Linked DNA regions of Neodiprion lecontei. The main gene of each other region encodes a partner of the protein of the gene in region 3 in a complex. Links are inferred from orthologs where the notes say so. Each region holds a gene or a part of one and is shown on either strand. Other genes may lie near its edges.

What was found. The genes of interacting proteins can lie anywhere in the genome.
Region 1: THO complex subunit 4 (region 3) and THO complex subunit 1 share a complex: the UniProt entries of both Homo sapiens proteins name them as parts of the transcription/export (TREX) complex. The link is inferred for Neodiprion lecontei from reciprocal best matches to the Homo sapiens genes ALYREF and THOC1.
Region 2: THO complex subunit 4 (region 3) and SAP domain-containing ribonucleoprotein share a complex: the UniProt entries of both Homo sapiens proteins name them as parts of the transcription/export (TREX) complex. The link is inferred for Neodiprion lecontei from reciprocal best matches to the Homo sapiens genes ALYREF and SARNP.

What each region holds. Positions count from the first base shown.
Region 1 is NC_060261.1:27,606,941-27,617,712, forward strand, and holds the start of THO complex subunit 1, read left to right. Parts: upstream 1-4,972; 5' UTR 4,973-5,187; exon of another isoform or gene 5,188-5,694; coding exon of another isoform or gene 5,695-5,912; intron 5,913-6,652; coding exon of another isoform or gene 6,653-6,843; intron 6,844-8,277; coding exon of another isoform or gene 8,278-8,510; exon of another isoform or gene 8,511-8,533; intron 8,534-10,230; exon of another isoform or gene 10,231-10,772. Other genes in the region: mitochondrial cardiolipin hydrolase, read right to left, coding at 5,695-5,912, 6,653-6,843, 8,278-8,510. UniProt on the Homo sapiens protein: Component of the THO subcomplex of the TREX complex which is thought to couple mRNA transcription, processing and nuclear export, and which specifically associates with spliced mRNA and not with unspliced pre-mRNA.
Region 2 is NC_060263.1:36,075,860-36,087,693, forward strand, and holds SAP domain-containing ribonucleoprotein, read right to left. Parts: upstream 6,834-11,834; 5' UTR 6,647-6,833; coding exon 6,596-6,646; intron 6,145-6,595; coding exon 6,048-6,144; intron 5,932-6,047; coding exon 5,870-5,931; intron 5,692-5,869; coding exon 5,461-5,691; intron 5,294-5,460; coding exon 5,165-5,293; intron 5,072-5,164; coding exon 5,000-5,071; intron 4,916-4,999; coding exon 4,820-4,915; 3' UTR 4,120-4,819; coding exon of another isoform or gene 3,964-4,119; 3' UTR 3,716-3,963; coding exon of another isoform or gene 3,532-3,715; 3' UTR 3,301-3,531; downstream 1-3,300. Other genes in the region: solute carrier family 35 member B1, read right to left, coding at 677-1,255, 1,626-2,021; formylglycine-generating enzyme, read left to right, coding at 2,476-3,019, 3,115-3,289, 3,532-3,715, 3,964-4,119; male-specific lethal 1 homolog, read left to right, coding at 8,629-9,081, 9,534-10,297, 10,380-10,598, 10,787-10,877. UniProt on the Homo sapiens protein: Binds both single-stranded and double-stranded DNA with higher affinity for the single-stranded form. Specifically binds to scaffold/matrix attachment region DNA. Also binds single-stranded RNA. Enhances RNA unwinding activity of DDX39A.
Region 3 is NC_060261.1:38,210,639-38,220,924, forward strand, and holds THO complex subunit 4, read right to left. Parts: upstream 3,870-10,286; 5' UTR 3,704-3,869; coding exon 3,500-3,703; intron 2,332-3,499; coding exon 2,194-2,331; intron 1,936-2,193; coding exon 1,788-1,935; intron 1,356-1,787; coding exon 1,215-1,355; intron 1,037-1,214; coding exon 918-1,036; 3' UTR 501-917; downstream 1-500. Other genes in the region: endonuclease III-like protein 1, read left to right, coding at 7,920-8,465, 8,683-9,081; endonuclease III-like protein 1, read left to right, coding at 9,828-10,286. UniProt on the Homo sapiens protein: Functions as an mRNA export adapter; component of the transcription/export (TREX) complex which is thought to couple mRNA transcription, processing and nuclear export, and specifically associates with spliced mRNA and not with unspliced pre-mRNA.

The DNA of each region.
Region 1 (10,772 bases), about 11 Mb from region 3:
TCCAAACTTTGCTAGGAGTGCTAGGATCCATTATCAGTGTATGCTCATAACGCGACATTTTGGGTCACAAATTCTACAAGCCATGCGAATTTTTGGTCAAGACCATTCGAATAGAAAGTGACGTGCTCTTCCCAGTTTGAGCCGGCCAGCCCATGAAACGGTACCGAATCGAACTTTTTTTAAACCTGTTGGTCAAATAACTCAAAATCTGTATAACATATGAAATCTATAATCTGATCACTTTTAAGTTAAGAAAAGTTGCGTCGATTGACATGAATATAATTTAAATCCTGACGTGCATCCGATAATGGTCCGAGGTGATTTTCTAGACCTTGAAGCATCGAGATCCCGTGAAAACTCAACTATCTATTGTCGGAGTGATTCTAGTAACTTTCCGTATTCTTTTGTCCTTTAAAAATAAAGGACTAGAAAGTTAAAATACCGCTTAAATGACCGTAATCATGTTCCACACGTAAGTACGACAACTTGTCCCAGTCTTTTCTACGCTGGTTTCCTATGTTGAAAAATCGTCAAAAAGCTCTGAACACGTTTGACCAGACGTTTGTATTATTCGGTCTTCAGCCGCAGCGGCACTGTAATGACTACATACGTAATATGTATACAGTCAGAAGATTCCGCTTTGTTCACGATATTTGTTTGTACCTCGGGTGTTTTCAAACTCACAGAATCTATAGCCTGCGGCTAGCATTCGACATGAAATAGACATTCTTTTTCGAGTCAATCAACGTCTCGACGGTGATCTGAGCTCACACGCAAAACTGGCTGTAAATTAATATTTATTCAAGCAGGATTAAAACTTCAACGATGCGGAATCATCCAAAGTTCATCTGAACCGGGTTAAATTTTAAAGAATCTAAATCGACTTCCTTTTATTTTATCCACGGACATTCGCGATGGATTCGGAAATAATTTCATGTAATTTCATAATGTACGTCACACATGAGACATTCTAGACCATTTTCACCAGTTGGACATGGCCCTCCTTTTTTTTTTTTTTTTTTTTTAATACACAGTAGGGCGTCACAAATAAAACGCAAATCGCAAGGATCGGCATTTGTTTTAAATGAGTTTTTCTATAATTCTAGAATTTAAAATCATGTGAAACAAAACGACTACCACACATAACTGATTTCACTTGAATAGGTATACACAGTGAATTCTTTGTGAAAAACAAAAATGTTTAGCAAAGCAAAGACGAGCAAACCAATTCAATAACCTTCGTTTCTTGTACTTGTGAAGACATAATATTTCGATAAAAATCTTTCGAGCACATCACGTTAGTTCTGAACCAGCTCATAATTGCAGAACAGCGTTCCAAGTACAAATATTGCTTGCGAATTTCGTGTAGAGGATATTTTTTCAGGACTCCACAAAAAAAAAAATCTATTAAATTTTCTCGAAAATGTATTTGACACTTGTACGCACGAAAACAAAGCACGATTCAGAGAAATCAATTGTGCATGCGACACATTACAGTACCGTGATCTATTATAGGGGCGGATGAAACCACGTCGTAGAAATTCATAAAAGAATAACGGTTTCTGGTTTAGTTTGACTTTCGTAAACAGCATTGTAAAGACGTGGGGGAAAATCTTACGCAGCTTTGAATAGAAGCTCTTGACATTGATGAGGTTAGTGATCAGAATTTAGGCTACGATTAGGTGGGTTTAAGTCGTCAATATTTCAAACATAGCAAGAATAACTCTCGGTGATTTCGTTAACGCGGCGAGTCCGTTTCTCGTCTCGCTGCAACGGCCGGTTTTCTTTCTCTTTCTTCGTAACACCAAGTACTTTATGCTATGCAATGCATCGCGCAAGAACAGAGTCCAATTCCTGCTTAATTGCTTTTCAAGCTTGTTCAAAAGCCGTGAAGTTCAAGGGGCGTCGTATAACGTTCCGTAACAATGCGGAATGAAAATATTATAGTTTTACGTGAAATCGGTCCGAGCCTTGGCACGAACTCGAGCGATTAAGCTGGCGCACAAAGGCGGAGGGAGATCCCTAAGAATTCTGATTCGACAATAACTTGCGTTCTAACTCTCCGTAAGCGACATACCGGCCGTTTTACGTAGGTCGCGTGAATGCGTAGGTAATTTCGCGATTACCGACTCACGGCAGAGTCAAAAATACGAAAACAAAAACAGTCGAGAGAAATGCGTAAGCGGTCCTCGGATTCAATTATCCCTTTCAAAATCAATCATTTCGCCAATCTTATATCACAGCACAATGCCAAAGGACGTCGGGTGAAGGCCTGTGACGAAACGTTGGAGGGAGGCTCGATGCATCGATCGTCGGTATGACGTCACAGAGCGACTGCGTGCGTGAGGAGAGAGAGAGAGAGAGAGAGAGTCGGCCACAGTGAGGAAGGGATAGAGAAGGGAGACGGCCCGGGGAAAGTAGGGGACGAGCACCTGTGACGGTGTCGAGGTGGGGCGACTACGTCACAGACGAAAGCGCGCGGGTCGAAGGTCGAGATAACTCGGCATTGGGGAAGCATTGCAGTGGTTGTCAAGTTCGTTCTGCGTAGATACCTTCAGGGTGGCCACACTGATTGGTCATGGAAAAAACTGAAAAAATATCAGTTTTCTGTCAAGGGAATCGGAAATTGAGGTAACGAGTTTACTTTCTTTCGTCGAGAAAATATATTGGTTTATACTGGCTTTTTTGTGCATTATTTTATTTTTCAATTCGAATTGAATTTGAACCGAATATAGGAGTTAATAAGCTAACCGATTCAGGTTTTGGTAACTTACTAGAACGGGGAAAATTTTGGGGGGTTTTTTTTTGGAAGAATTTTGTGGCCACCCTGTGCGTTTGACTGATTCGACTGATCCTGCGATGGAATTATACGAAGATCTTTGAACGCAACATGAATCAGAAAACACAGTCGATGTTGGAAATGTGATACGCGTCATGACATGTGATATGTGATATGCCGAGACTAGGATACTTATAAGTAGTAAAACCATCTTAAGCCTCCGGGCAAACACTAGTCTTTTAGGGAACGGTCGTTTTGTAAGTATCAATTTTTATGAATAATACTTCGAAATTTCTGAGTTTGCCAACTTTTGGATAATGTAGTTAACACTCTGAGAAGAGGCCGTGAATTTTTTCCGATTTCTTGAAAGCCTGGAACATTTTGAAAAAGTGCACGGACAAAAGTATCTCTTTAACGTACTTTATCATCTCGTACAGTTGCATTTTCACAGCCTATGAAAAATATCAGGAAGTACAAAAAATAATACAGTAAGATCGTGTGATTGTGTGATTTTGTCATCATGTTTAACTAATGTAAAATCGTTTTCATGGCTTCGCGCTAGATTTACACATGGTAATTCATAAACTGAAAATGTAAACTAGCGATATTCTTTCCTACCACTTCGAATTATACAATTCGACAATTATGAGGATAAAATAGACGATCTGTAAATATCTGACCGTCTGAGTGGTAGAAACTTCACGAGAATGGGATTCAAAATACTATGCGAAGTAAGAAATACTCGAACGGTATTCTAGCTCTAGCGGTTACCGCTAGATATCGCGCCAATCTCGTAAGTGAAACTACTCGGCAGTAACTTATAGTTATAACAATTCTTGGAGACGAGATTTATTGTGTCCATCTATTTTTGAAGCATAGTCAAGGCAAAGATAGATACATTTCGATTTATCGTCTGTGTATACGTATGCATGCCTGATACTTGCGTCTACTAAGAAACGAAGACAAATTGCGAGGCAACGCGATCTGAATAATCCGTATTAGCATAAGTTGAACATACATCGTGCTTGCAAGCAATGTGAGTGAGTTCTGCGATACGGTGAAATTGAGGATCGCTTACTGGGGATGATGTCACAATCGTCATGGCAACTCCCACAAAAGGGTATTTGAGTCAAGGAAGAAAGCTCATCGTCGGTGTTTAATTACCGGTTTTCGTTTCCGTCTCTGAATTATTCATGGAGTCTCAATTCTACGTAATATTTTTGAAAGTCGTTTATGTGTTTGAAAATACAATGCAGACTCAATGAAGTTTTCATTTGTTGGGATATTCATTCAATTTCAAAGAATCTGCCAGTATAATAGTTGGGAATGTATGCCTGGACCAATATGTTTCGAAATAAATCATACGCAGTTCGTTTTTCTAATAATATAGACTCGGAGAAATTATAGCATGTACATTAAAGAAAAAGATGGAGAATGTTACGATGTGTAATTAAATAACTATGATATTTTGTAACATCGGATTTATGTTATGTTTGAATGAGTGAAGGATTTTTGGATTTTTCATTGACAGAAAAACTTTATTGAGAGGTATTGTAAAACAATTGCTGGAAAAATGTTGAGTTGGGATTTGAAAAAAAAAATGTATTGCACAAGTTTTTATTCATCATACTGTTTAATAACAATGATTCGACGTTTGGATCTTGTATACACACAGCATGTTGAAAATCATGGAAGTTTCATTCTTATTCTACACTGGAAAATTTGCTCGAAAGAGAACGTCAAGAAATCGTAATAAGAATAATAAACTTAATGAAAGTTAATAGCGTTAAAATAATTAATTGAGAAAATTAATTAGTCTTAAAAAATACAGCATTTCGCTCAAACAATCGATAGATATTTCGATCTTATTCAGGTGTTGGATATATTTACCTCACATTCGATGGCCGAACATTTTCAAAGTACACGAGTACAGCTAAAAAATTTTACGAACACAAGCTGTACAGTTAAAAAAATTCACTTACGCAATGCTGATTTTTTTCAACGGCTAAATATTGACGACTTCTTCGTGAGTATTTCTCTATTGGAAGACTATTCAATTACAATACTCAAACTTTGCACTGAGTTCTGTGTTATACAAGTTCAGATTGTGCATGTGTGCCAAATCAGCGCGGTGACATAGGTTAACAGCTAATTAATTCAACTAGTTATACTGAAGGTCAGGGGTATTTTTCAGATGAAAAGGTCAACGCATAAAGCCGCACGTCACGGCATCCTCATGCGTCACAGCGCAGACGCATGCATTAAAGCTCCATCACGACCGTACCTCAGAAGCATCATTCAGACGATAAATTACGATTCTGGATTCCTCGTGAATACTGAAAAAGGCGTCATCGCCATATCTGTATCGAGTTCGGACGAAGACCCTACTTCTGTGCTAGGCTGCATGGGTATGTACCGCAATATTTGATAGTTTGGTAGATTTTGTCGCAGAAATACAAAGAATTGTATTTCGAGTCAGGAAATTGCCAATTGATTGGTAAATCTATGCATTTCGTACGCCCATGCTCTTCTTTCAATTTTCATAATCCCTCGCACTGACTCTCCACAGTCTATGTATATTAATGTCTTGAACAACATTTCACTTACAATTATTTCTATGAGTATCGAATCGGAATCGAAATACGTTTAAATAACCTCCCTCGAAATATTTCCTGAATATTACTAATTTATTATCGTCAATAGCTACTCGGTGTATTCAAACGCGTAATGCACTTCAGATTAAAGCGGTCCATCAATCGTAAACGGCGGCTTCGTTCCCAGAAGGGAATATAGTCTCAAAACGACTAGGAACCAGTGGTGTAAAAGAATTGTTTAAACATATTCATCAAAGTGTTTTTTCAAATTATTCCATACTTCGTTGCGGTATACGTTTGAACCAAATGAGTTTATATTCATCAGTCTTCGCCTGTGGTGAGCAAAATCCACATTCTGTCGAATTCCGCAATGAACGGCTTGACTAGGGCGAGTTGATTCGAAACTATGACGTTGTCCCAGTTTCCGTGCATCGCTTGCATCGTCCAATTTGTACTCCCCGTCAAAATCAGCTTCCTATCAATTATCGCAAACTTGTGATGCATCAAGTATTCCGATTTCTTCATCCTCACTCGAATACCTGGCGATGAGGTTATACAAGAAACGATTAAATATCATTCGCTTGACCTTTATTTTGATTTTTGATTCAACTTTGTATAGCTGCTATTTACATGAAGAATTTCACAAATACTCATTGATTATACAGGTGAGAAATACTAGCTTTGCTTCCACTTTGAGATTTGAAATTTGAAAAACGGTCTATAATTGTGTGATTTTAGCGGGTATAAACGAAATTCTCGAGGTCCCTGTAAATTTCACGTTGTTAAACGACATGCATTAATCAACTCAAAAAACACATGTTTTCACGTTCAACGCACTTGTAATTGCACTTGAAACTTAAAACCCTGATTTCGTCACGACAGATTCTTTTTTCAGTACGTTGTTCGAATTTTCTTCGATTTTCGGTACTTGATTAATTTTTAAATTACAGAGTCTAATTCGGACGTGAATAGTTCTTGAGAAACTGTGTACCTAACGGCATAGAATATCTACGAAATTTCATCAATATCGTACAAACTATTTCGAATCAAGATATCACGTGAAGAGTGTCGAAAAACGTTGTTTCGAGTAAATTAATTGTGAATTTTACCGTATCAATTGCAAATACTAAAAGTTGACTTAGAAATTCTACGCGAAATGGTGACGAATCGCCTTACTTTCTGAGAAATCCTGTTATTCAAATTGTTTGGGAGTGATTTAGATAATGATACGCGTGCGATTTGAAGAGCCTGAATTGCTTTGAACTAAGTAAAATCTTACCTCGTTCTCGAAAATCTCTTATACGACGCTCACAGGCGGAATTTTCCGCCATTCCTCCATCGACGATAATTCTGACAACTACTCCGCGACAAAACACCTTGGCTATCGCTGCTGCTAGATCCTCACAGCTGAATAGATACATGCAAACATCGAGATTTTGCTGAGCAGATTCCAAATATGCGCATAGTTTCCTACAGCAGAAAGAATACGTATTTCACAAGTCGTATATATCGTAGCGGATCATTTACAGCAGACAGGCCGTGTCCGTACTAAAAGCAACATGACGACGTTGAAGCAAAGATTTCCAGGGTGGGTGTTTCGACGCTTCGAATTGAATAGATATCTTGTGATCTGTCTGTTACGAAATATGATGTTTGTCGGTAGCAGGGTAGGTTATAAAATCTACGAGATTGAAGTTAGCAACGTTATTGTAACGAAACGTTGAGAAATAATCACTATTTTATTACGGTTTGCTGAATTTCAAACAGCTGCGAAATTATCTCTGTGAAGTTGGTACCCCATTTTGGAAAAAGTAAGTTTTCGTTTTTACGAGTTCTGGATAGTGCTCAAATAGTTCTACAGTTCTATACCCATATGAGAAATACTTCTGGTTGTTTACCACCAATTGTAAGAAAATAATAAACAATAAAAAAAATAACAACAATGCTAGCACCCCACAATTAAAGTACGGCAATTTTTTCGAGTTCTAAGAAGATTTCAGAAATAGCTCGAGAACTCTTCGAATTCTGATTGAATCGGAAAAATTCATTCGAATGATTGACGGAACTCACGCTCGTCTATGCGAAACTCTCATCGGAACTTTGGGAATGGTTAAAATTAATTTTCGCTGTAAGTAATGCGCGTGGATATTTTGTTCAATATCTCGGTAACGAAACAAAATAAAAAAATTTGAATCGGCTGAAACTCTAGAATTCTGAAAAAAAAATGACTGGTTTTAAATAACGGAGTGCTAGCATTTTTGTTATTTTTTATTTTCTATTTTATTAGTGGTAAATAACCAGAACTATTTCTCATATAAGCATAGAACTGTAGAACAATTCGAATACCATCCAGAACTCGCAGCAAAAACTTATTTTTTCGAAAACGAAGTAATCAGCGAAGTTGGCACCCCATTTTTTGAAATTAATTTTTTGAACCCTAATTGACCGGAACTATTTTTGAAAATTATCCGGAACTTTAGAACTCTTTGAGAAGATTCAAGAACACTCGAAAATTTTTATTTTTTTTTTTCAAAAATGGGGAGCCTACCTCACAGAGGTTGCAAAATTGCGAAATAACGGGTTTTCATCAGCATGAGTCGTTACGATAACGTTACTAATTACAACATGATTAAAATCTTCAAAATTGCTCTTTGCATTTTGCACACGTTTCTTGCTCTTATTTTGTGTGAATACTCTTGTTTATCAAGAGATTATTAAACCGAGCGATTGATAGGAATGTTTGCGCTCTTTCAATTGGTTTTTCGACAAAATTAGACTGTCTTTTTCGGCTTTATTAAATGTGAAAGCCTGATCTCGAAATTAGTATGGCATCCAAGGTACATCGAACGTCTCTAAAAATCTTTTCATCGATATTCCTATTGCATTATTTCGATTGATTCTCACCTCAATTGTGTAACCGAACAGTTGGAACGGTCGCAAGGTGTTCTAGAGACGGCGTGCATGCGACAGTTGGATGATTCTTCAGAGAAAAAAAGAACCTCGTTGATGCTCTTTGAGGATATTTTACTTCGAGTTCTTTTATACAATTGCCATAATAGTTCTGTGGCCAAAACTCCCGTGAAAACTACGATCACCACCTTGTTGGAACGGCCAAAAATCCACATGTTCTTCATCATCGTGATTCCTGCACGAAATTATCCTATGAATCATGTTTCATTGGTGTGTACATATTTCAGCTTCAATTATTTTTAAAAGTACAATAGAATTTATGTGAAGGATTCGCATCAGAAACATCGAATTCAACATACGAAGCCCCAAAACTGTGTACCCCTATCAATTGATTCACGATTCACGTTTTCAAAGAGCCTCCCCATAAATTGCCCGTTTTGTAGCTCGCGTGAATTTTTCCGAAACAAGGGCGAAATGATACTTTACGATACCTCGATATTCACGAATAAATTCAAGCTCGAGTATACACAAGCTTACGGAGATACGGGGAAGTAAACTTTTCAAATTTCTATTTATTCGGTAATAGAGTTCCACAAAAAAAAAAAAAACATTCTCATGTATTTTTTGACAATACCCGTAGACCACTAAAATAATTCAATAAAGCAGAAAACATCCCCTAAAACAGGATGAAGCAGGTTCTTTCTGTACGTGTAAGTACATGTGTAGGTACGAATTAGTATTTGTTAAAAACATAGACACGTGTCATTCAGATTTATTTATAATATCATTTACATCTCATCAATTTCAGTGTTTTTTTTTTTTTTGCTGAAAAATATATCTACGGATTTTCTTCATCAAATCCGTAAGCACCATATTTCTAAATCCCTATTTCATTGCTTGAATTTCACATCAAAATACATTTTAAATTGTCAAAATCATCTTCGAAAAGTATTCCTGCTGTGGTTAAAATAAAAAATTGCGCGAAATATTGATCATTTCAGCAATTACACGACTGCTATCTACTTTTAGAATGAGTTGTTCCAAAAAAACTACATCGTAAATTTCTGTTCACCTTCTTTCGGTGAAAAATTTCAATTTTTCCTTTGGTCATCTTCATACTTGCTAGACATTAGGGGTGTGCGGGTATCCGAAAATTTGGATATTCGAGCTCGGGTTCAACTCCGGTTTTTTGGCAATCCCGAAATCTTCGGATAGTCCGAAAATTTTCGAGTACCCAACTCGAAAGTAATCCATTCTACCCGACCCGATCCGACCCGAAGAATTTCAGTACCCGCACACCTCTACTAGTCGATAATAAAATTATTTCACGATAATGTGCTAATAAAGCAGATATGAAAGAATTCGAGAGTATATTTTTCAGTGAGCCTCTAGTCTGACTTTTCGAGAATAAAATCTCCACGACTTACAATTCCAGACGGCTATGAAATTGTCGTTCAGATTGTCCGAGATTTCGGAAATGACACAAGTTCGAAATTTTTCAAAGTCTCTGTTGACTTTAAAATCCCGTTATTTTTGGAGAAGCGAAAACAGTCGTGAATAAAATTTTCGAAAACTCCGCACTTTTCGGCAAAACCGAAATTTTCGAGGTACTCGGAACTTTTTGGTGACTCGAGATTTTCGCGTACCCACAATTTTGTGGTAATCTGAAATTTTCGGGTACCCGTCCTCGATCCCAAACGCCCCTAAATATTTGCCTCATTTTGCATCACCTATTCAATTCCACGGATTGATAATTTGATATATTCTTTTCACATACTTATAAGCTTTATAACTTGGTTTTAAGTCATTATATTTTGCTTTAAATTTCGGTACGCATTGCATGCATATGATTTCTTTTGTCTTCTAAACACCTTGAGAAACATTCATTCTTGCTTATGTTAACCTTAAAGTCAATTAATATTAACGGCAGTCTGAATCCAAACTTACGTGCACGTACGTACCAGAAGGTCCACACCAGAGAACGAGTGGTATCCTTTCAAGATCGCAAGCTAACGGTCAAAGCATTTTCTCCGTCCTAATGCCTTTTATGGCTTCGACTATTCTTCCCACCAATACTTAAGAAAAAACTATTCAGCATTCAACGACAGTTCGTTAAAGACAAACCAGATGCCCGAAAATCACTTTATGATATTTTCGGACATGCAGGAATTGACGTGCACGTACAGCGTAATAAACCCGTACGGAATTCAGCAAGTACGGAAATTGCCCAAAATATCATCACAACATACGTAAATCTTCCGTATTGGTCCTCTTCCCATAAAAAAATTCAATTCCAAAAATTCCCATAAATGACCGAATCAGGAAGCACGTTAGAAAACCGCAAGCTAAAGAATGAACTCAGAAGAGCGTCGCAGTGTGGAAAAACAGCATAGTTCTTCAAAACCTTCTATTCGAGACAGGTTAAACAAAAATCTTTTAACAGAATAGTTCTGAAACGTCGTCTAACTAGAGCAGTTCATCGAAAACCT
Region 2 (11,834 bases), on a different chromosome or scaffold from region 3:
TATATATATATATATATATATATATATACATAGTTCACAATCTATACGTATATAGATTGTGATCCAAGTAATTCCTTATATCATGTTCCAAATTGAAAATTTATACGTACTGATTATGAGATATACACACGGTTCTTACTGGAAGGAAAAAAATTACCAATGACTATTGTAATTTGTAACTAGGAAAATTTCAATTAAAAATTACGAACGTAATAGTTAGTATCGATTTTTCTTGGAACGACAGATTACATTTGTAATTTTATTAGAAACCAATTAATTACAAAAACGCCCAACACTGATCGAACTTTATAAATTTATTTCTGTTCGCTGATAATGTTCATCTATTCTAGACACCTTTTCGTCGCGTTATCAATTGTACCTAAAGGAAGTATAAAGGTGAAGTTGGTAACGAGACTGTAACGATGTTTAGGAAAAATTGTTATTTTACACCATGAAGTTGAATTTTAGTAAACCATGATAAACAAAACATACTCTCATTTTGAAAAGCTGACTCCTTCAAAGTGATCATAATTATATATTTTTAAGTATATATATTTTTCCCTGACGTTTCGTTGCAATTATTTTACTAACTTCAGCCTCATAAGAACCTGAACTAAATAAAAATTCAGAACCTCCAACATAATTCATCTATCATACTATGATAATATAATTAAAATCATTCAGTAGTTTCCTTTAATGGTACTTTAGTCTTGCCGTACATGGCGTCTAAGAATAACCCTGAGAAGACTGTAATCGTTGCCAGCCATTGTCTGGGTAATAAATTATTACCAAATAATAAAACAGAACCTAGTACAGTAAAGAATTTCCTAGTAGTAGTCATAACGGAACATGGAAGAGGGCCGAAATCTGACACTGTTAAGAATATGAAAAATTGTCCAAACGCTCCTGCTAAAGAGAAGGAAACGATGTGCCATAGGCAGTTTGGATGTCTCTGCATAAATGACAAGAATTGTACAAGCTCTCCTGACACTAGGATAACCGAAGTACTGAATATAAATGACCAGAAATTCATGTTCAGCATCATGTGGCCAGATTTAGATTTGTGCTCTGCTCGCATTCTTTCCTGTACCGCTCCAGTCAGTCCATCCATCGTCAATGACAGCAGCAGCAAAAACTCTCCAAAGCCCATTTGGCTTTCGGTCTGCTTGGTATTTGCCACATTGTCTTTGTACATGAAGAGAGCAACGCCCACAACGATCAGTAACACGAATAGGTATTTCCTCAATGGATAAACCTTAAATGAAAAATTAACCATATTTTTAGTTGAACGACACATCTTTGGTTCGAGATAAGAATTATCATTATTTTTTATCATCTCACCTCACAGACCAGTCACTCTTAAATTTGAATAAAACAGTATTGCGAATGTTGTTGAGAAAATTATGAACGAATCATGTTTTTGCTTTGAAAAAATCTTGATTAATACCTTGGTGGACAAGAGGAATATTTACAGTAGTTTTAATCTAATCGACTAGAAATAACAGACTTTGATGGGGCATCGACGTGTTGCTTTAAACATGACAGAGTAATACTGATATGAATAGGTAAGAGAACTATTGCAAAATCTGTAAAAGGTTTGAATAATCGACAAGTTAAAATCTCACCTTCCTTCCGAGCAGTACACCGAGTATCATAACAGGAATAGGCTTGCCAGCCTTGCCGACAACCTGAGTAGGATAGCTGACAAATTGCAAAGCCATAGTACTACAAACCATAGCGAGTAGATAAGTAAGCGAACTGACAGCATAATAAATTGTACGAGTAGAGTCTTCGCCTTGTTTCATAACAGTCAATAGTATAACTTTGGCAAACATGTAGTTGAGCAAACATTGGACAGAAACCAATGCGAACGCGAATGTGAATTTTTCGGGTTTGTCGGCATCTCCGTACTGTCCTCTGGTTATTTTTTCTTGAAGAACACCGAAATAAAAGTAACACACGAAAATACCAGCTGCACAAACGAGCAACTTTATTTTCGACGATTTCTGACTACCAGTCATTATTGATCAGTTTCTGTCAAACAATATCTACATGTATTCCAAACGGTATTAGAACCGCGACATATGCTCATCGAGGTTATACCGGACACGTCCACGTCTCGTCCACTTTAACTATTTCTTGCGGCTTTGCACACGCGACTGAACCCGATTGCACCGCGCACTTATTGCTCAACGCGCGGTTACAGTTTCAACTTCAACTGACGTTTCGCCAAGTGTCGCCTCTTTTCGTGCGACACGACGATAATGCGTCCGAACCATTGATAACGCGAGTTTGTAGATCACCAAATTCTACGCGGCCAATACTAGTTAGCCATCGATTCAGGATAATTTGTACCAAAACAATTGACAGCGGCGTTGACTGAAGAATATATCTTCAGTCAACGACAGCGGCGACGACGATTTCCATTCGCAGCGTCAAAAAGGGTTGTTGACGTCAGTCAATTGTTTTTGGAAAATGCGTGCCGTGTTTGTAGCAGTTTTAATCGTCCATACTTTCCTTATCAAGGCTGCAGAATCTGAGGGAACGGATTGTCAATGCGGTAAAGTATTGAATCGAAAAACAAACGATGATCAGAGCGGCAAAACTGAAGGTTTCTGTTCCGCCGGTGAGAGTGAAGCTTGCACTGTCAAAGAGAATAAGTACGAACAGAGAATCAACGCTCACGATGGAATGGCGATGATAAATTCGGGCACCTTTGCCGTCGGTACAAACCAACCGATATTCGTGGCCGACGGTGAGGGTCCAAGACGAAACGTAACTCTGGACGATTTCTACATTGATGTTTACGAAGTTAGCAACAGAGATTTCGAGGAGTTTGCCAAGGCTACGGGGCATCGAACAGAGGCTGAAAAATTTGGGGATTCTTTTGTGTTTGAGGGATTATTGAGCGAGGAAACAAAGTCTAAGATAAACGAGGCGGTTGCTCAGGCACCTTGGTGGCTACCGGTCAAAGACTGTAACTGGCGTCATCCTGAAGGTCCTGATTCCGACATACTGGGTGAGGTTTTCTTCTATACATAGGTAGTCCAAGAAAATTGGTGAGAAGTAGACGCGCTTCGATCATCACAATCTTAAACACGTTCTCTATGACAGACAGAATGGACCATCCTGTGATTCACGTCTCTTGGAACGATGCCACAGCTTTTTGTAAATGGCGAGGCAAACGACTGCCTACGGAATCTGAATGGGAAGTTGCGTGCAGAGGCGGACTTGTAACTGAACGTCTTTTTCCTTGGGGTAACCGCCTCACTCCAAAGAATCAACACAGGTAAGCTAGTATTGGAATTACGATTGTTCGATTAATTTTTATTTCATTACATCCTCAAATTCGGCGACGCACATTCATTTTTAAATGAAAAATCATTGACAATTGCTTGATTATTCTTCTTTTTTTTTTTGACAAAATACGCACAACACATTTATATGATTCTGTTAAGAAACATGTTACTTATCAATTATTTCTTTAATCTTATTACTAGTATAGAATTTTAATTTACTTTTTCCGTGCAGGACCAACATTTGGCAAGGAGTTTTTCCTAGCAATAATAGTGCTGAAGATGGATTTGTGGGGACAGCACCAATCACAGAATTTCCACCAAATGGTTACGGACTTTATAATATGGTTGGAAATGTCTGGGAATGGACTTCCGATTGGTGGGTAACTGAACACAGTGATAAACCTGCAAAAAATCCTGTAAGTATAACTTTCCTGTGATAACATACACCCAATACCCTTGCAAAAATGAATTCTATTCTAACACAGGAATGTTGCAATTGAAAAAAACTCTCAAAAAAGCTATGATTTATTGCTAAATGATTGTCCTAAGTCAAGATACACAATTTCGAGTACTGGTATTCTTAATAGTTTATGCCAAGCACCTACATTCCATGTAATAATTGTAGTTAAATTTCTCAAATTCATGATCAGTCAAAATTTTGTAGGTCGGACCGTCAAGTGGTACAGACAAAGTTAAAAAAGGAGGCTCATATCTGTGTCATGAGAGTTACTGTTACAGATACAGGTGCGCTGCGCGCAGTCAAAACACACCTGATACTTCTGCTGGCAATCTCGGCTTCAGATGTGCTATGTCGATTTAGCAATATCTGAATTGTACTTAGGTTAAAATATTTTGTAAATACTGGTACACATACGCATGATTGGATAAATTTTTATCAAAGTTTTGATTCTATTTTTAAGCCAGGTCCAAGTCTTCCAGAATAATGTTTGACGTTTAGTATACGTGTGTAAAGAATCATTTCGAAATATGAAGGGTTTACATTATTCCTCAGAAATTACGAACACGATTTTTGGAGCTCGAGATACAGATTTAAGTAGATTGTGATTGTAACCTCAGGTAAACTGTACGTATGGAAAAATGGTAATAAATTTTTCAGAAATTCCCAATCTATTATCAATGTTTCATTCAACGCAAGCACATTTTTGTGACAGCGATCAGCAGGTTATTTTGATTTTATAGGAGCCTCTGGACTTCATTTCCTATTACTAGAATTTATTTTCAGAGATTCCATAATTTTGGAATTATACATCAATAATGTTTGGCAATGAAAAAATTACCAATGCTATAATTTGATTTGATGTTTTTATTTTTTTTTAATTTATAAGTAAAATACTCTATTAGAAATTGATTAATCAAAAAATGTAAATATTTTCGATCCATATTGAATATTGAAAATTTCGTCTACTTTTTAATGACTGTTTGACTATTGGTTTCATTGAAAAAGAATTTCTTAAAATAACCTTAACCTAAAGTATTGTTTGAGTGTATGATATCGAGTATCATTTTACTATCTTAATTTTTTTTATGGGTTTTTCAATCGGCTTAACCTCACCAAATCTCGCTCGCCTCTTTTCTATTCTTGACTCCATTTCAGCCTATAAACAATAAATTATATGATTCATTTTAAAGGCATTTCACAGTAACTGATACACTGCATTGATTAAAAAACTGACACATACTTTTTCCATCACACTAGAAACCGAAGCGCCGAACCTTTCAGCTCTCTTTTTCAGCACCTCAAAGGTCGTATGCTGAAATTAATTATTCACGAGATTTTAATATCATCCCCAAGTTATAAGTGTTCCACGAATCTAACTGTCAAGCTGATTTTGTTCAAAACTTACCACTGGAACGTTTATAGATGCTGCTGACTTACTATTCTGCGTGTTTGAATTAAACCTGGCCGACCTAGCTTCTTTCTTTGCAGACTCAGATAGAGGGACACCAAATTTCTTAGCTCTCATTTCCAGTCTCTGTTCAAAAACGATAATTATCAGATGGTGGATGGATGGAGTATAAAATTTGCAAAATTAATTATTTTTTAACAAGTGCAATAGATGAAGATATTTAGAAGCTGTGAATTTCAGTTGAAAATGCAGGTATGTGACAATCACAAAAAACGTGTAGTTATCATTTTTACCTCCTTAACGCCCAGTTGAGAAAGTTTGATAACCTTCTTTTCAGGTTCACTTGTATCTGATTTATTATTATTCTCTTTTCCAGTTAGCTCACTTTGGATATCTTCGAGAATTGGATTACGATTCAGTACTATTTTTTTGGAATTCGCTGAGTTACTTTCTGTTGACAATTTTCGCTTTTTGCCCACTTCCTGTGAGTCGGGTTTACTAGAAAGTTCCTCTATCTCTTCATCCTACAGGTACATATCATTCATTTATAAAAACGGGAACAGATATACAAACTTGATTCAGACCTGGTAATGCATTATTATTTTAGTGAAGAAACATAATAAACCAATACATTTCAGAGTCTTATATTCGGAATATTATCAATATTTCTGAAAGCTAAAAGGACGTAAAAATATAACTTACTCCGAGAACAGCATCCTCATCTAATATTTCATCCGTAGTCTCGTCAAGTGATAAAGTCGAATCTGTGAAACAAAATATCGGTGGCTGTCAAATATTGAGTATTATTTAATGCAATTCATTAATCCTGGGTATCCTGTAATTAAGCTAACGATTATGGTTTGCATTTTCATAATCCTACCTCCATGCATTGCTAATTGAAGTCGTTCTACCAGCTCGGTTTTATTTCCAGTCGTGGGCAGTCCTCGTTGCTTCAACTCCAACTTTAAATCTGCTACCTGTAATGAATGTCATCAATTGATGCATCAAAATTATTCCCTGCTATAATTAAGTACCTCTCAACTATCGAGAGGTTGGAAAATTGTATTCAAATTTCGAAGAATCTATAATCAACGTTATAAATAAAACCTGACACAGTTCAATCCATAAAGGATAACAGTACCCTTTTTTACAGTAAAAGATCTTTGAGACTTGAATTACTAGAATTTTTCAAGTTTGATTAGTGCACCTTCGAAGCAAAACGTGTTCAGCAATTTGACAACTTTCGGGATGACGATGGTTTCATATATGAAAGTTAAAACATATTACTATTCGAATGACAGAACTCAAAGTAAACTTTCTCCAAAATATAATCATTCAGGGTGCAATAAGATGGTTGGATTCGTTGAGGTTAACGTAAATATTAAATACACAATCGCCGCATGAAACAGTGCTAATGTATGCGCATACCTTCATCTTGGATAACTCGGTTAATCCTTTCTCGTAAGAAGAATCAGCCATAATGAATTATTTTTAATTACTAATTTTCACAAGCGGCAAAACTTTTCGTATTTTATCTCATTTATCACAGAGTTTTGGTACAGGTAAACGCAACAGAGCAAGCCAACCGAAATTCGTAATCACAGTTCGTAACTGTGAAATGTAAGAGGATACGAAAGACCGGAGGAACAATGGCGAAATATAGTCACGCTGATCCCGCCAGTCTCGACCAGTGGCATTTAGCCACACTGATTCAGCCCTGTTTTATCGGTGGCGCGCTTTCCGGCTTGACTGAATTTCCGTATGGCAATGCCGTACTCCATACTGACCAACGGAAATTAACCTCGTTTCAGTTTTTCAAGTGAAATCTATTTTCCTTGTAGTACCGGGTCTGTTACGAAGATTCTAATTGCCAAAATCAATGTTTTTCGGAAGCTCAAAACAAAAACACTGTAACATTTAGAAACGTCGGGCTTTTCTCTGGCGCATCTGGCGGTTGATTGAAAAATAAATTTAGGCCATCTCTCAGCAATGTAAATAAGATAATTTGAGATTTGAAATCTGCGATAGATATTTCATCATTGGTAATTGCAAAAGTTATTCGAAAAGCAATATCTCGAACGGAAATCGAATTGAAAAATCGAAAGAGTGAATCAGTTCTAATGATTATGTATTTTCAACTAAGGTTGCACGTATTGCATTGATCGTGCCTGCGAATTCACTCGCTATATTCACAAAACAGCACTGATTTACTGCTACATGAAAGTCACGTAAGGCACGGATGAACAGAGTAAATCATTTGGTCTATAATTTGGAGTGAGATGACAGTCAATGAAAATTATTACACCCACAACTATTTGTGGCGATAAAAGTTCCAACCGCAAGTGTCGTGCCGATTTATTTATTTATTAACTCTTTAATCTCTTGCCGTTATAATACAACGCCAGGTGCAGATCCGTCCACACGGTGAACGTCAATTTTCTGATATTTTTTGATAAACTAAGTTCTACATAACATTAATATGATGTTTACACAAGCCGCCAAAAATTCGCTCGAGAATTACGACAAAGCGTTTCATCGGCACGCTTTTTACGTAACCTTAGCTGAACCCATGTCACACGACATCCACACTGGTCGGCGGCGTCGCATTAGGAATTGGCGAGCTAAGACGAGACACAGTCTCAAAGGACAACGGTTTATGTACGTGACGCGACAAACGAAATAAACGAAAATGCTGCTCCAATTCACAACCACAATCACAGATCAAGCGGAACGTATCTTGAGACCGTTCCTCGGCATCGATATCGAATTGAAATTCGCATTTCATTATAATATAGCTGTCTTGTAAACGTAATATTTCCGCATGAATTGTAGTAATTGAGTCTTATATGTATATAGTAATGACTTTAATAATTACTCATTAAAGTACGGCATATTTGATTAATAAAAAACATCGCGCTAAAGACTGATGATCTGGAATGTGCTGCACTCTATGCGAAGCTATCAGTGAACATCCTTCTCAGCAGTTGTAGATTTACCTTGCTGTAAAATTTCTATTGAAAGGCATATCCGGAGTATTTTTTTCGTCCGAGCTTCCAACAGCTTGATTAATGCATCGAATAGGTTGTCCATTCGTTACGATTATTCGTAAACGTGGAGAGCGGGAAGAATCTCGTCGGATGAATTCAAATAAACGGGGCCAGCCGTGATTGACGGGTACGGAAATCACGTGGTTGCAATGGCGGGAAATCGTTGGAGTATTTCGAGCCGCGTACGCTTGGTGTCTCTACTGTGAGAACGCCGTCGGCAGAGTTTTGTCAGTAAACATCTCGAGCCAGGGTTAAAATTGAGGGTGATATCGTGAGAGTTTGTCTATTTTGTAGAGTGAAAAGATCATCGGAGTCTACGTAAGATTGTTTAATGAGTGTGGTTGGGCGCGTGGTACGCTCACTGCGGCCACAAATGATCAGGAAAGTTCTTAACGAGGTTGTCACGGAGGGAAAATGTCAAACACCTCGCCAGTAATAAATGGTGAAAACACTGGGAGCGTGGATTTTCGGGAACTGCTTACGGCACCTGGAACTACGGCTAGTGGAGTTAACGCGGCCGCGGCTCGTGCGGCATACAACATGGTTGCAGCAATGAGCGAACATTTATCAACTAACGTGAGGCAAAACGAGTTCCAAACCGCTGCCGAGGATAGCAAGGCGGGCATATTAAGCTTCCCCTGCGACTTCGACCACATGTACGCGAGTATGACAGACGGCGGTGCCCCGGCGACATCGGCACTCGGTGTCAGCCCCCTCCGCGGCAACGAGGCTCGTCACCATGACCTCACCGAGGTCAAGCACCTCAAAGAACTACTACTTTTACATCTGGACCTGATACAACAACAATCCGAGCAAATCGTTACCAAGGATAAACTATTAGCGGCTCTCAGGCAGGAGAATGAAACGGTATACAAGCAGACGTTCACTAGTACTAATTGAAGTGTCAGTATTTATTTACAGAGATATAACCGTATCGCTATTTCCCTACAAGTGACGCTCCATGTCGCTAAACATGCCTTGGACAACAAAGTTGTCACGCACATGCTGAAATGTCATTCAATAATCTCGCTTCACCGTCAAGGTCATGCTTCATGTACCTGCCGTTGGGTGGCGTTGTAACCGCTACGTACATTTGTACACATTACAATATTCACGTCTCTGACGCGTTTCCGATGACATTGCTCTGTCGGTAATGTACTCTCGCTCGGTACCGATAGCGTTTCACGCGGAATATTTGGCTACCTAAATTTGAACAACTTTGTTGAATCTACTGAAAATTCAACTTTTGTAGGCTTGAAAGTCCTCATTCCTGCTCAAAACTAATATTTCCTACCACGTCTTGATTTTGTGTATTTCAGCTGAAGTTGCGTTTGGAACGGATGGATAGACGAGTCAATCTACAAAAACTACGATCAGATGTAACTGAAAATTCTGTATTACCTGATCACGCCGGGGCTTGTTCTCCTACCAGTCTGAATTCACCAAATACGGCATCCACTAGTGATCATCAGAGGAATACTGAGTCCGAGAATAGCAGTCCTGCATATAACGAGAGTTTTAAAATACGTTTGAATACAAGCGGAGGTATAACTACAGTTAAACAAGAGCCGAGTGAAAATCATGTCAAGAATGAATCCAAGCATGAAACTTTTCGACAAGAATCGAGTAGCGACTCTCGACATGATTGGGAAATTAAGAAGAAAAGGAAGTCCGAATCTAGTACAACATCAATTGGAAAACGCAAGAGAGGTGTATCCTGCTCGTCGACAGTCAGTAATGACACAACTTCCACGATACCAGACAACAAGAGCGTGACTCACGAGAATGTTAAGAAGACGGATAAAAAGGGAAAATCCATTACTAAAAAGGAATCCTTTCTAACAACGGAAGAACATTATTTTACATCCATAGGTGAGCCCAACTACACGTTAAGTCTGTCGGAACCTGTGCCTTCAGATAATAGTGCTTCTCTGGAGGTCCCAAACTGGAGGGTTAAAGTTTACACCAGCTGTTACACAATGGAGGGAACAGAAAACTTAGATGATGAAATATTTAACAAAAGACATCTCAAGTTGGAAAATGATGAAAGGCGTCGAAAGAGATGGGACTTTCAACGGATAAGGTAAGTGACAAATATTTTCCTACTTTGAATTTATATACGAATGGCAAGTTTTTTTTTTTAAACATTCAATTTTGATTTGCAGGGAACAACGGCATATCGAGAAGCTAAAACAAAGACAAGAACGTCAAAATCATCAGGCAACATGTTATAATACGAACCACACCGGACCATGCCCAACGCTACCGGCAGAAGAGGCAGTAAGCACATTGTGGCCAGAACCAGAGCAAATTCAGGGACTTCAAGTTGACTCACGACTGCCAGTTACTGCGTTTGGTGTGCCCATTCCCACCTTTACCCCAACGTAAGTTTCCTTGTAGTGCTAGAAATAGTTTTGATTTCAAATATAGTAACAGCAGTGATCCTAGATTGTACGACTTAACTTTAATCATTCATCTAGAGTCAGACTGAAAGTTAATCTGTGGAAAAACAAAAAAACAGGCCTAAAGCATATACTATCTTGTTAAAGTTCATTTACTGTTTGAATTACAGTGAATTCTCTTTACCATGGCTACATACAGCGAGGTCGAAGAATCGACGCACCAAACGATCTACAGGTAGAAGAAAATCTTCTAGAAGATAAGCTGGCACAGCGACAGGCTGAACTTGTTTTTAATCTAATTACTATTTTAAAACATAGCTGTAGCGACGTCTTCTTAATGATTTGTTTTTAACTCTGAAGTGCGTTATTCCTGCAGTGTTAAATAGGGCACCAAAGATGTTTTTACTCTTTATTTTTAATGAACGCAATGTACTAAATCGATAAACTACTGTTATCGATTCAATTTTCTACAATTTTCTTCATTTACAATCACGCCCACCTGCCACTCATCGATGCGTGTAACTCAACGCACGATTAAGATCATTTAATTTTACAACTTGATTTAGGTACCTAACATTTATCCATTTATTTGTAATATCTTGACGTACGTCGCAAAAATTTGATAAACTGATGTTCATATTCGAATGTAACTTTTCTGTAAAGCTTTGTAAATTATTACTTTTATTGTTGTATAAAAAACATATCATTTGTTTTAAGCTCTTTGATTCATTCGGTACATTTTAGACAAATTTGGCTTCATCAATTATTACAGTATCATTTTTTTTTTTTTTTAACTTTAACACATGTATAAAAGATACAAATGAAACTATATAGTATTAGCATACTATACACGTGAGAAAATAATGTAATGATTAGTGGTTAGAAATGGTCGTAACTAATTAAAATACAAAATTTAATATTTATCGCACCCTTTAAATTCTTTTAAGACGTAATGTTTATAATAATTTCTCATGATGAAACTCAATTCCCAGTTACTGCAAACAACGACAGTCATCCAAATCATAAACCAGTATCATGAAATCAACATTACAGAGGATTTTTTAACAATAATTCCATATTCTTACACGTGATAAGATTGGATGATACAAGTTCTAATAACGTTGGTTGTTTTTGTTGTCTTCAATAATTAAAATATTTCAAAGTGGTACATCATGAGGAGGGATTGCAACTGTTACCTCTGGCAATGTCAGTCGAAGA
Region 3 (10,286 bases):
TGTATTGGAGATACACGTCGACACCCAGTAATATCAGGCCATTATTGAGAAAGAAATTAGTTACTGATGACCTGACTGAATTATATGTTCACAGCCTTAACACATCGCAGCTCAATTATTTGCGGTGGTTTTTTTCCCTCATATTTTTTTCTTCTCAAAATCTTGCATATGTCATTATTTGATAACGACAATAGTTCACTATGGTGAAAAAAACTCATCATCTTGGATACAATTACAAATGATTACAAGCATTTTAAACGTTATAATGTTGTGTGTATTGTATAATATCGTTATCAACACTGTTAAGACGTTTCTATAACAATTACCCACTTTATTGTAAATGTGCTACACTTAAAATCTGCGTAATTTGATTATTATTAAAGAGGATGATGATAATAGGAACGCCACTTACATAAGGCTAAAGTTATTTTTACAGTGTTGCCTTCAACTTATACTTATTAAGGGCTATAAGCACATGACGTACTTTGATAAATAACAACTTTTGAAGGAGAATTTGAGTGTATTTTTCAGTTTATGATCACACACGCACGGTATTACATACAAAATTCATACAGCCTTTATATTATGTCACAACTTTGTATTCTTTCCCATGTCTGATGGACATTTTTTTTACCTCGGATGCCAAAAATCACGGTACGATTTTACTCTGCAGCTTTTTCATATTGCATTTGAGTTGTTATTAGGTATCTAAACTCTATGAGTAGTAGAACGTCAAACATAATTAAAAAATACTCATTCCGAGACAATCAAAAAAAAATCTTTTTCTTTACTCTCACGTATTAATTTCATGATTATTAACTTATTTGGAAATAAGAGATTGTTACGTTCTTCAATTAATAAAAGAACCGTTAAATGAGAAAGAAGATATATGTAGTAGAATTTTATGCTATCTTATGTTACTTCACTTCCTTAACGTATGCTTCTAATTCTGCATCCAACTCTTCTGCAGTTGGAGTTTTGGCTGGCGTCCGTCCACCTCCTCTAGTTCCACCACGTCGACCACCGGTTCCACGACCTAATGAAAACAAACATCCATCCAATTAGACGTAATAAACTCGCAAGTGGGTAAGTATTAATGATATAAAAAATATTCGCTACACTAACATTACGGGCTCTTCTGGGAAACTTAAATTCTAATACATCAACTATTTTGAGATAATTGGTAGACGAGTAACAAGTAAACAGTAAAGTACCTCGGTTGGAACTAGCTCCACGAGCTCCTCTGAAGCGCGGTTGGGCTCTTTGTACGAAGCTACCACCACTGAGTCTACTTCCTCGGATAGATGAGGTTACTGGAAGTTCTGAAGTTGCTACTTGAATATTCATCTCTCGACCTGTTGACCGAATAGTCAGTATTAAGTAGTTATTTTGCGTAGCATGGGCGTGAACTGAGTGTTGTTCGGTAAGACAGATGTTATCAGCACAGACGATTCGATGGTCGTCGACATACCGAAAGTATGACGTGCCACAAACGTTAGATGGACCGAGTAGCAATTTACACTCGAGCTCCATACGATATTTTTTACAGTGCAACATGAAAATTTTTTATACTGCAGTTCTGAAGTCAGCAGTGTAAAGTACCATTCTACAGTTTGAAAACAGTCCTCAAAATGCGAATTTTTCATGCATGTGTCATAAAAACTGTATTAATACTTTACTACAAAGAATTTATCCTCCACTATTACTTTTGCATTAATGAAAATCGCACAATATTTTGACTGTATAGTAATTGAACTTGAAATATTAAGAGGAAAAAAAAAACTTACCATCAAGAGGCACGCCATTGTACTGTTTCATTGCTTTAATGGCATCTGCTCTTCTTTCAAATATAACATCTGCTGAGCCAAGCGATCGACCAGATCTGTCATAGTGTACAGCAGCTGATTTCAATGGGCCAAACTCACTGAATAATTCCTAGTTGTCATTTAAGATGAAAAAAAATTCAATTAATTATTAAAGTACTGTCAAAAAATTTCGTTTACATGTTTTCAACTAGAGATCTACTTAAAAGTTATTTGAATTTTCAGAAAACTTGAACTCCCAAATTAAGTATTAGAATTAGGTTTTAATGAATATCACCATCTATAAAATTAGAGACATGTTCTTGATAAGAAACTAAAAGTTGTTGAATAGACTGGAAAATATTAGATATACATTGCATTAATATTTTACCTGAATATCTGAATCGGACACCCCAAAATCTAAATTTGAAACAAGTAGTTTGGTTGTGCCTGTACCACCAACTGCACCTCGTCCAACTTTCTTCACTCCATCAAACATGTCATGTTTCCAAGCACTGTTCACATCTCCCTAAAATTAACACACAATCCAATCTTATTATGATGAACGAGAGGTTCAATAGTCTTAAATTAAACAAAGTTCGAATATATTCAATTCATTCTAAATAGACCTTCACGAGACTTGTGTGTTTCTGTGTGTTATCAGGTAAAACAGAACAAGTTCATACATATAATTTAACAGTTGAACATACATACTTATTGAAGCTTATGAATATCATTTACTTTACTTGTTCTTTACAATTACTCGTATATTTTTTAACACAAAAAACAGAAAACTATGTAATCGTGATGTTTATTCAACTGGGTGAAAACATTCCGACTGACAAATTCATCGTAGTAGCATTTATCAACTCATCTTGTGGAATTCTTTTTGATGTAAACAAAAATATATTGTGGATAATAGTGGTATCTTAAAAGAGAAACAAAAAAATTAAAAGAAGTTTAGAAGTACACAAGTGAACGAGGTCAAACTACAACCATCTGTAAAATAACTGGTTAAAGTAAACTATTTGCATTTTAAACATATATAATAGATTGTTCATGTTTGACTGTGAATGAATATTTGTAGAATTTTACAAAAAAAAAAAACCATTACTGTATGCTTCTTTTTAGACTACCCAAAAACAAATGGGAAACCAATATAGACACTGCAGTATCAAGATTATTTTATTCGTATTATTCACAAACGATCGAATTATGCCAATGAAGTAATACAAGAAAATTACACCGTGGGAGAACTATCAAAAAGTGAAACGCATTTTCTAGCTGAAAAGGTCAAACGTGAAAATTTTATTGATACCACGTTTAATCAGGCGCGCTCATTAAAATGGCGCAATTTAGAATTTTTTGGTGTTGGGAGTGTAGCGTTCCTGCATTTTGCAGTTCCTAATTTTGTTTTTAATAACGTAATTGTAATTTTGGAAGCGATGAATGAAGTACGGAAAAGTGAAATTCAAAAAAGAAATAAAACAAATTGACGTGATATAATATCCGCAATAAGAACACAACCGCATGTGTGCAGTTCCGAAATTAGCGGTCATATATGCATCGATACACACAGGCGAATGATGCCCGATGAGTGTTTGTAGAAAAAAGCAACTTCGTCTCGGATATAAATTTATGAAAAACTTGGGATATCTGGAATGATCTGAGTATGAGCATGGAAAATTAATAATTACCCGGGTGTATGGAACGGCTGAGCGGCCAATTCCTCCTCGGCTTCGGCCGCGCATCACTCCACCGCCGGCTCGCGACGCACCTCGGATACCACGTCTCGGCGAAGCTGTTCCGCGTCCACGACGTCCGCTGCCCCGGGTTCTTCCACCTTTGTTCTGCTTGATAATGTCATCCAGACTCATTTCTATTTTGTCTACCATCTTCATTTGTACGTAATAAATTCTTTGCTTTAACAGTGGACTCGTACGCACAAAACCAACCTCACCCCGTTATGTCAAAGATGGCGATCAAGACCGCGAAGAGTGTCGAAAACTACTACGAGCTTTTACGAGCGACGCGTCTACACAACTGCAGGGACGTTCGTAAACTGATCAACCGTAGACGTCCGCCCGGCCTTTTACCAGATTGGTTAGCTTTCTAACTCTGCCGCTAGAGGGCCAGGTATGCCCCCCCACTCCTCTATAAATATTTTTCGTAAAATAAAAATATAATAATGTGTTTTAGTTCCGAATAACACTATCAAAATTTGCGGAATTTTTCATTTGCGTTAACTGAAGGTATATAAATACTGATAGCCTTGTGGGAATTTTTGTAATCGAAAATGAACGAGATTAATTTATCGTCAAGTAACGCCATCTGCGCTCTTCCCTGCATGCGCAACTGAAGCCGGCAAGCTGTCGGTACGTAAAGGCGACAAAAACCGAATGACTCACCGCGTGTACCCAAATAATGCAGAATTAAATGTTATTTTCCTATGGAATGACGAACAGGAACAGACTGAAATCCTTATATGACCCCGTAAGGACGCCGTATACTTTTCAACTATGCAAATTCATTTTAGCCAAATTCAGCAATTTTAATCCAACTCCATCAGATAGACAAAAATAATGTTATCTAAATAGATGCATGCACCATAAACATACACCTGGTTAACTGTTAACAGCGTTAAAAACCTTTTCTTGATACAAACGATAGGACAAATAGTCGAAAAAATTAATCAAAGGATGAAGATGTATAGTTATTCCTATATGCTGTACCTTATGTAATTTATGTAGATATGTTTAATACATAACTCATACTCAGCGCCGAATTTACCTATAGGGCCGATAGATTCGGACCTAGAACGGCATTTTTTAGGGGGCGGCAGAAATTGGGTCTGTAAATGCATTTTTGGAACGAAGTTCCTTAACACGGCTTGCGGGTTGGAGTTTCACTGCTCTAAAAAGTATCGCAAGTGATGAGACCGAGCAGTTTGCAGTCATTATTGCAAACTTATGAGGTTTGATTTTGAAAAGGTTCAACCTTGTGAATTTGAAGTTGCAGAGCGTAAATATTGATATTGGAACCGTCGTGGAATTATATCATTCGCTTACTGATTTCGCCCGAAGTATTAGAGATAACTTCGACCACTTTGAAGAGATGGTAAAGGCTACATCGACTGTTCAAGAATATGAAACGGAGAATAAGCGGATTAAGAAAAGAAAACTCAGAATAGATGAAAGCCCAAGTACTGAAAGTGGGCGAGATGACTTTCGGATAAATACATTTAACGTAATAGATGATAGTCTCAGTGCAGAATTGTAATGGCGCAGTTGGTATATGCAGAGCTTCATGAAAAATTCAGTTTTCTAGAACGGCTGAAGATATTATAAATTAAGGAAATAAGAGAATCTGCAGAAAAATTACTGGTAGCATTCAACGAGGATTTAGAAGATGGTATAGTGGAAGAATGTTTACACCTTCGCTTGCCCGACAACTGAAAAAGAATAGAAACGGAACGATTAGCACAATTATGGATCCCGTTTCTTTAGGTTGCCGAATTAAGCATGTTTTATTCCAATGCGGAAATCGTTCCAAAAATAACGGATTCTGGCCTCCGTACAAAAGTAATCCAATACGGCTGGGGTATACTATAAAACTATGGCTTTGTGTACACGAGACAGACATCATAGACAAGGCAAGTACAATGGACGCTAGATATAATACGTTATATGGCTCTGCCGCAGGGCCCGATGATCGGAAAATTGTCCGAAATGGCTAATTGGCAATCACGAGAGCCCTACACGGTGGGTGGTGACACACTGCAGCGCAGCGGGAGATGGGCCCAGCTGAAAAGTCGGCACCAGAAAGCTCAAGGTTTTACTATCATAAAAAATAATTGACCTTCCCCGAAGAACGTTTAATTTGTGTATGTTTCCGGTCACGTAAAGAGACTCCCCGCCGCGCAGTGCTCTTGATTTCGACACCAGCAGGGGTGCGATTAGCAGCTAGCCATTTCGGATAATTATTTCCCCTTCGGCCCTGCGGCAGAGCCATAAACCTATAGCGTCCATTGTACTTTACTTCTACATTTAAATATGTACTGGCTTGCCTATAAATGTCTGTACTTTCTATGTTAAAACGACTTTTATCCCGTCGTATTTATAAATTTATAAACAAATAATTCAATACATTCGTCAATCGATTTGCGTTTTATGGGTAGTGAACTAGTTCCGAGAAACGGCTGTCGAGCTCACGGCTTGAACTAGACCTTCGACTAGACAGACCGGCGTCTACGCGTCATTACACGTGACTACTACTCTCTATTTTTCTATGCAAGGAATGGACGGGCGAAAAAAGAATTAGTATCGATGGCCAAAACTAGTTTAATTTGATATCAATCACTGTTGAGTGTGAAATTGTTATTCGTAAAAACTTGATTCTGAGATTTGATGAATGTTGGAATCGCTACTTCCAGAGTAATTAGAATTTAGAAAATAAAAGGAGTTGAACTTGATAGAGAATGAGTGAGAAATTGGCTTGCTGGAGTATGGAATAAAAGCATATTCGTGAGAGGTGGAATAGATCTACGTACTTGTAGAGAGCGGCGAGGAAAATATAGGTTCATCTTTAGTCAGCGTTGGCATCCATTGTGGAAATGCATACATTGTATGTCACGACTGTGTTCAGTTTCATTGAGCCTGCTGTAGCGGCTGACAATGAGCTCACGAGAGCCTCGCTGAAATTCTAAAACTCCAAAAGTGTTTACCCAGTAAACCAACACGAAATGAGCATGTTAAAAACGGAATTAAAACAAAACAATTGGAACTCAAAAGAATTGGCACACAGGTCTGTTGATTCTATTAAATTTGTTTTTATTTCATTTTTGACTGACACAATTCATTTCAATTCGCTTTGGTTTACTGGGTACAGCGAGTTGAGCAACGCGATCGATTTGCTGTTGACTGAATTAAATAGTTTTAATTTCTTTGCGAATTTTGGGCTATAGTTAATTACCCGTCGCGGCTTGAGCCGTTTCCAATATCATGTATTTGCCCATCTAAGCTTCTGGAAGTTAAGTTTTTCGAGATTTTCCAAAATTCTAAATTGAATTAGTTTGTTGGAACATTTTTCAAACAATTGGAATTAAAAATCAAGTATTTCAAAATTCTTCCAAAATATTTGCAGCTCAAAGTTACTACTTAAAAAACTCTGAAAAAATAAATTGAGTATCCTAGTGATGCTATTGGCGCCTGTAAAAGATTTGATATATTCATGTAAATATAAACGATACACGTTCATGTATTTGATTGACATTTATATTTCCGTTGTATAATTTCGGCGTAGATATTTCATGTACGGGATTTTTTCAATTTTTCAATTTCACGGTGACGAGGGTATGTTCGGAACATCTTGCACGCGATAAATGTTGGTTATGAAGAACTTCTTTTACCGGCGTGGTTAGTAGCTTGGTTAATGATACGTCAATGTAATATATCCAAGCCCGGCCAGACCCAGCAAACTGTCACAAAAATTAACCCAGGGTTATCAGTCTTTATGTATCTTCAGTCAATGCTTCAGGGAATCGATTCCGTAATTTCATTTTTCACGTTTCCCGCCATGCAAACATTCTGATTAGTTTGCAAATTTGAGTCATCCAATCATAATGCTTGGATAGTGAGAAATGTGAAAAGTGAAATAGAATTGATCCCTAGAATTACTCGACTACGTGAGTACTTCTAGCATGTTTAGTTGGTCTATGAATTTTCCCGACGTATTCGAACCACTAGAACATGTGTCAGAAATAGATCAAGGGAAGCTTCAGTTGTGTTTCGGCGAAATTTGAAAGTGTAAACACGATTCGATATCAGCAACTTGCAAATTAAATTTTTATATGTGAGGAATTGTGTCATGAGATGAGACTGAAAAATTTCTAAATCGATCAGGCTTTCCATCATCGTATTGTTATTAATCTGCGATTGCTGTGAATTTTTCATAGAAAATATTTGACGTAAATGGGCTATTAGATTTACCTTTGTTGTTTTCAATGATGATCCAATTGCAGCGTAGATAGTTTGGCGTCTCCTGTGTGTCAAAATAATTTGAGATTTTAGTTGGTTACCCCAGAAAACAAGCTTAAGCTGTACGAAAAGAAATTTCAAAATGAACAACAAGTTAAAGCTCGCTAATTTAGCTTCACCTAGGTACACTAGGTCGATGAAAAAAAAGATTGGTGAAATATTCAACCAGACAACAAACGTGTCAGAATATTTTCCCTATAATGTGAAAAAATCAGAACCTGCGAAAGCTGGCTCTAAGAAGCGGCCACCGATTAAGGTAGAGTACGAGAATCCACCTGAGGCGAAACCGAAAAAATTACCAAAAACAAAGAGGGCAGAACCTCCGATCAATGATGAATGGGAACCAGAACACTGGAAATCTATCCTAACAAATATTTATGAGATGCGCAAACATGGTACTGCTCCTGTGGATGAAATGGGATGCCACAAATGCAGCGATCCAAATGCTACTGCCTCTGATGCCAGGTTTCAGATTTTGATCGCACTCATGCTCAGCAGCCAAACTAAGGATCAAGTAACTCATGCAGCAATGGAGAAACTCAAGAGCCACGGCTGTACACCTGCAAACATCAAACTCACAGACAATGAAATATTGGGAAAACTAATTTATCCAGTTAGTTTTTGGAAGGTACGCAAGCAAATCATACTCTATCTTTTCATTTCCCCAATGTATCCCACAGCCTTTAAAAAACTCTGTATAAAAATTCAATAATTTGGAGACACCAATGCAACAAGTAGACCTTTCGATATTACTCTAGCTGAGATTTACCGTATATCTTCGTGCTGATCTTTATACTAATAAAAGGTTTTCACAAAATGATATTGACCTTGTTTCAATATTTCAGCGAAAAGTGGAATATATTAAAAAAACAACGGACATCCTGCTGGCACAGTATGCTGGGGATATTCCAAAGACGATAGAGGATTTATGCAAACTTCCCGGTGTTGGGCCCAAAATGGGTCATCTCTGCATGCAAATTGCATGGGGTGAAGTTTCCGGCATTGGAGTAGACACACATGTGCATCGTATATCCAACCGTCTTGGCTGGGTGCGTAAACCAACAAAAATACCAGAAGAAACTAGAGTTCAGCTAGAATCATGGCTCCCTAAAGACAAATGGGTAGAAGTAAACTACATTTTAGTAGGATTCGGTCAAGAAACCTGTCTCCCTTTAAGACCAAAATGCTCGGAGTGTTTAAACAAAAACATTTGTCCTTACGCTAAGAAGAATGGTGCAAAGTAAGGCTTTGAGTCGAGTTGTGAAAAGTGTTGAAAAGTTTCGTTTAAGATATTTGAATATTTAAGAACATTGTTTTCTTGTTCTATAATTTTTTTCTTCCACTTCTTGTGTTACTTGTGCTTATCTTTGAAAAAAGCTAGATTTATGAGATGCGTGGCAAAGTTTTCTAACACTTCTTTTTGTTGCATGATATACCAGGTAATTAAAATTTACTGCCAACCTGAAAATTATACCGTGACGTGTATTCAGATTAGCATGAGTCGGTTTAAAATATGGTGTACAAATGGTACAAATCAAGAAACTGATGCAATAGGCGTGCATGTTATATACGGTATATTTTTATAAATATAGGATCGACTGTACTGTGCTGAGCTCATTCCTTTGTATTAGAACAAAAAAACTCCAAGTCCTTTATCAAATTATTCCAGGTAAAAAAGTAATTGTCCAAAATGCGGTACAGTTTCAATAATTCGTCCCTTGTTTTACCGGTATCTTACCATCCCTCCCTAGGCCTTCTCCGGACCTTGTAATTCAACAAAGGTTTGTAGCCATACCATTGATTGCCCCCCCCCCCCCCCCCTCCCCCCGTTCTATATAACATGTGAAATATTCGAATGGCCCTCAGGCCCTTGTATCCATTACTCAAATCACCGTCGCTCAAATATACGAGCATTCCAAATGGGCGTGCGAGCGTCAACGGTAATATTTAAAACGCCGTCATAACCTCAATTTTAATAACAAGACTAAAAATGAGCGTGAATTCGAAATTAAACATCTTAGCGTCGCCTAGGTACACTAGGGCGATGAAAAAGAAAGTCGGTGAAATATTAAATCCAACGTCCGAACGTTCACCAGACGGTGTAAAAGGAGCAGAAATGGTAAAAGCCGCGGTAAAAAAGCGGCTTCCGATTAAGGTCGAATACGAAAATTTGCACGGGAAAAAAATGAAAATATCCCCAACAACAGAAAGTAAAAAAACGTCAACCAGCGGCGGATGGGAACCGAAAGATTGGCGTGTTATTTTAGCAAACATTCAGGAAATGCGGAAAAATATCACGGCTCCTGGTGACGAAATAGAACGCCACGACGGCCCTCAGCCAAATGCTACTCTCAGGTTCCAAACTCTGATTGGTACGATGCTGAGCAGCCAAACCAAGCAAGAAATAACTCATGCAGCGATGAATAGACTCAGAGATCATGGTTGTACA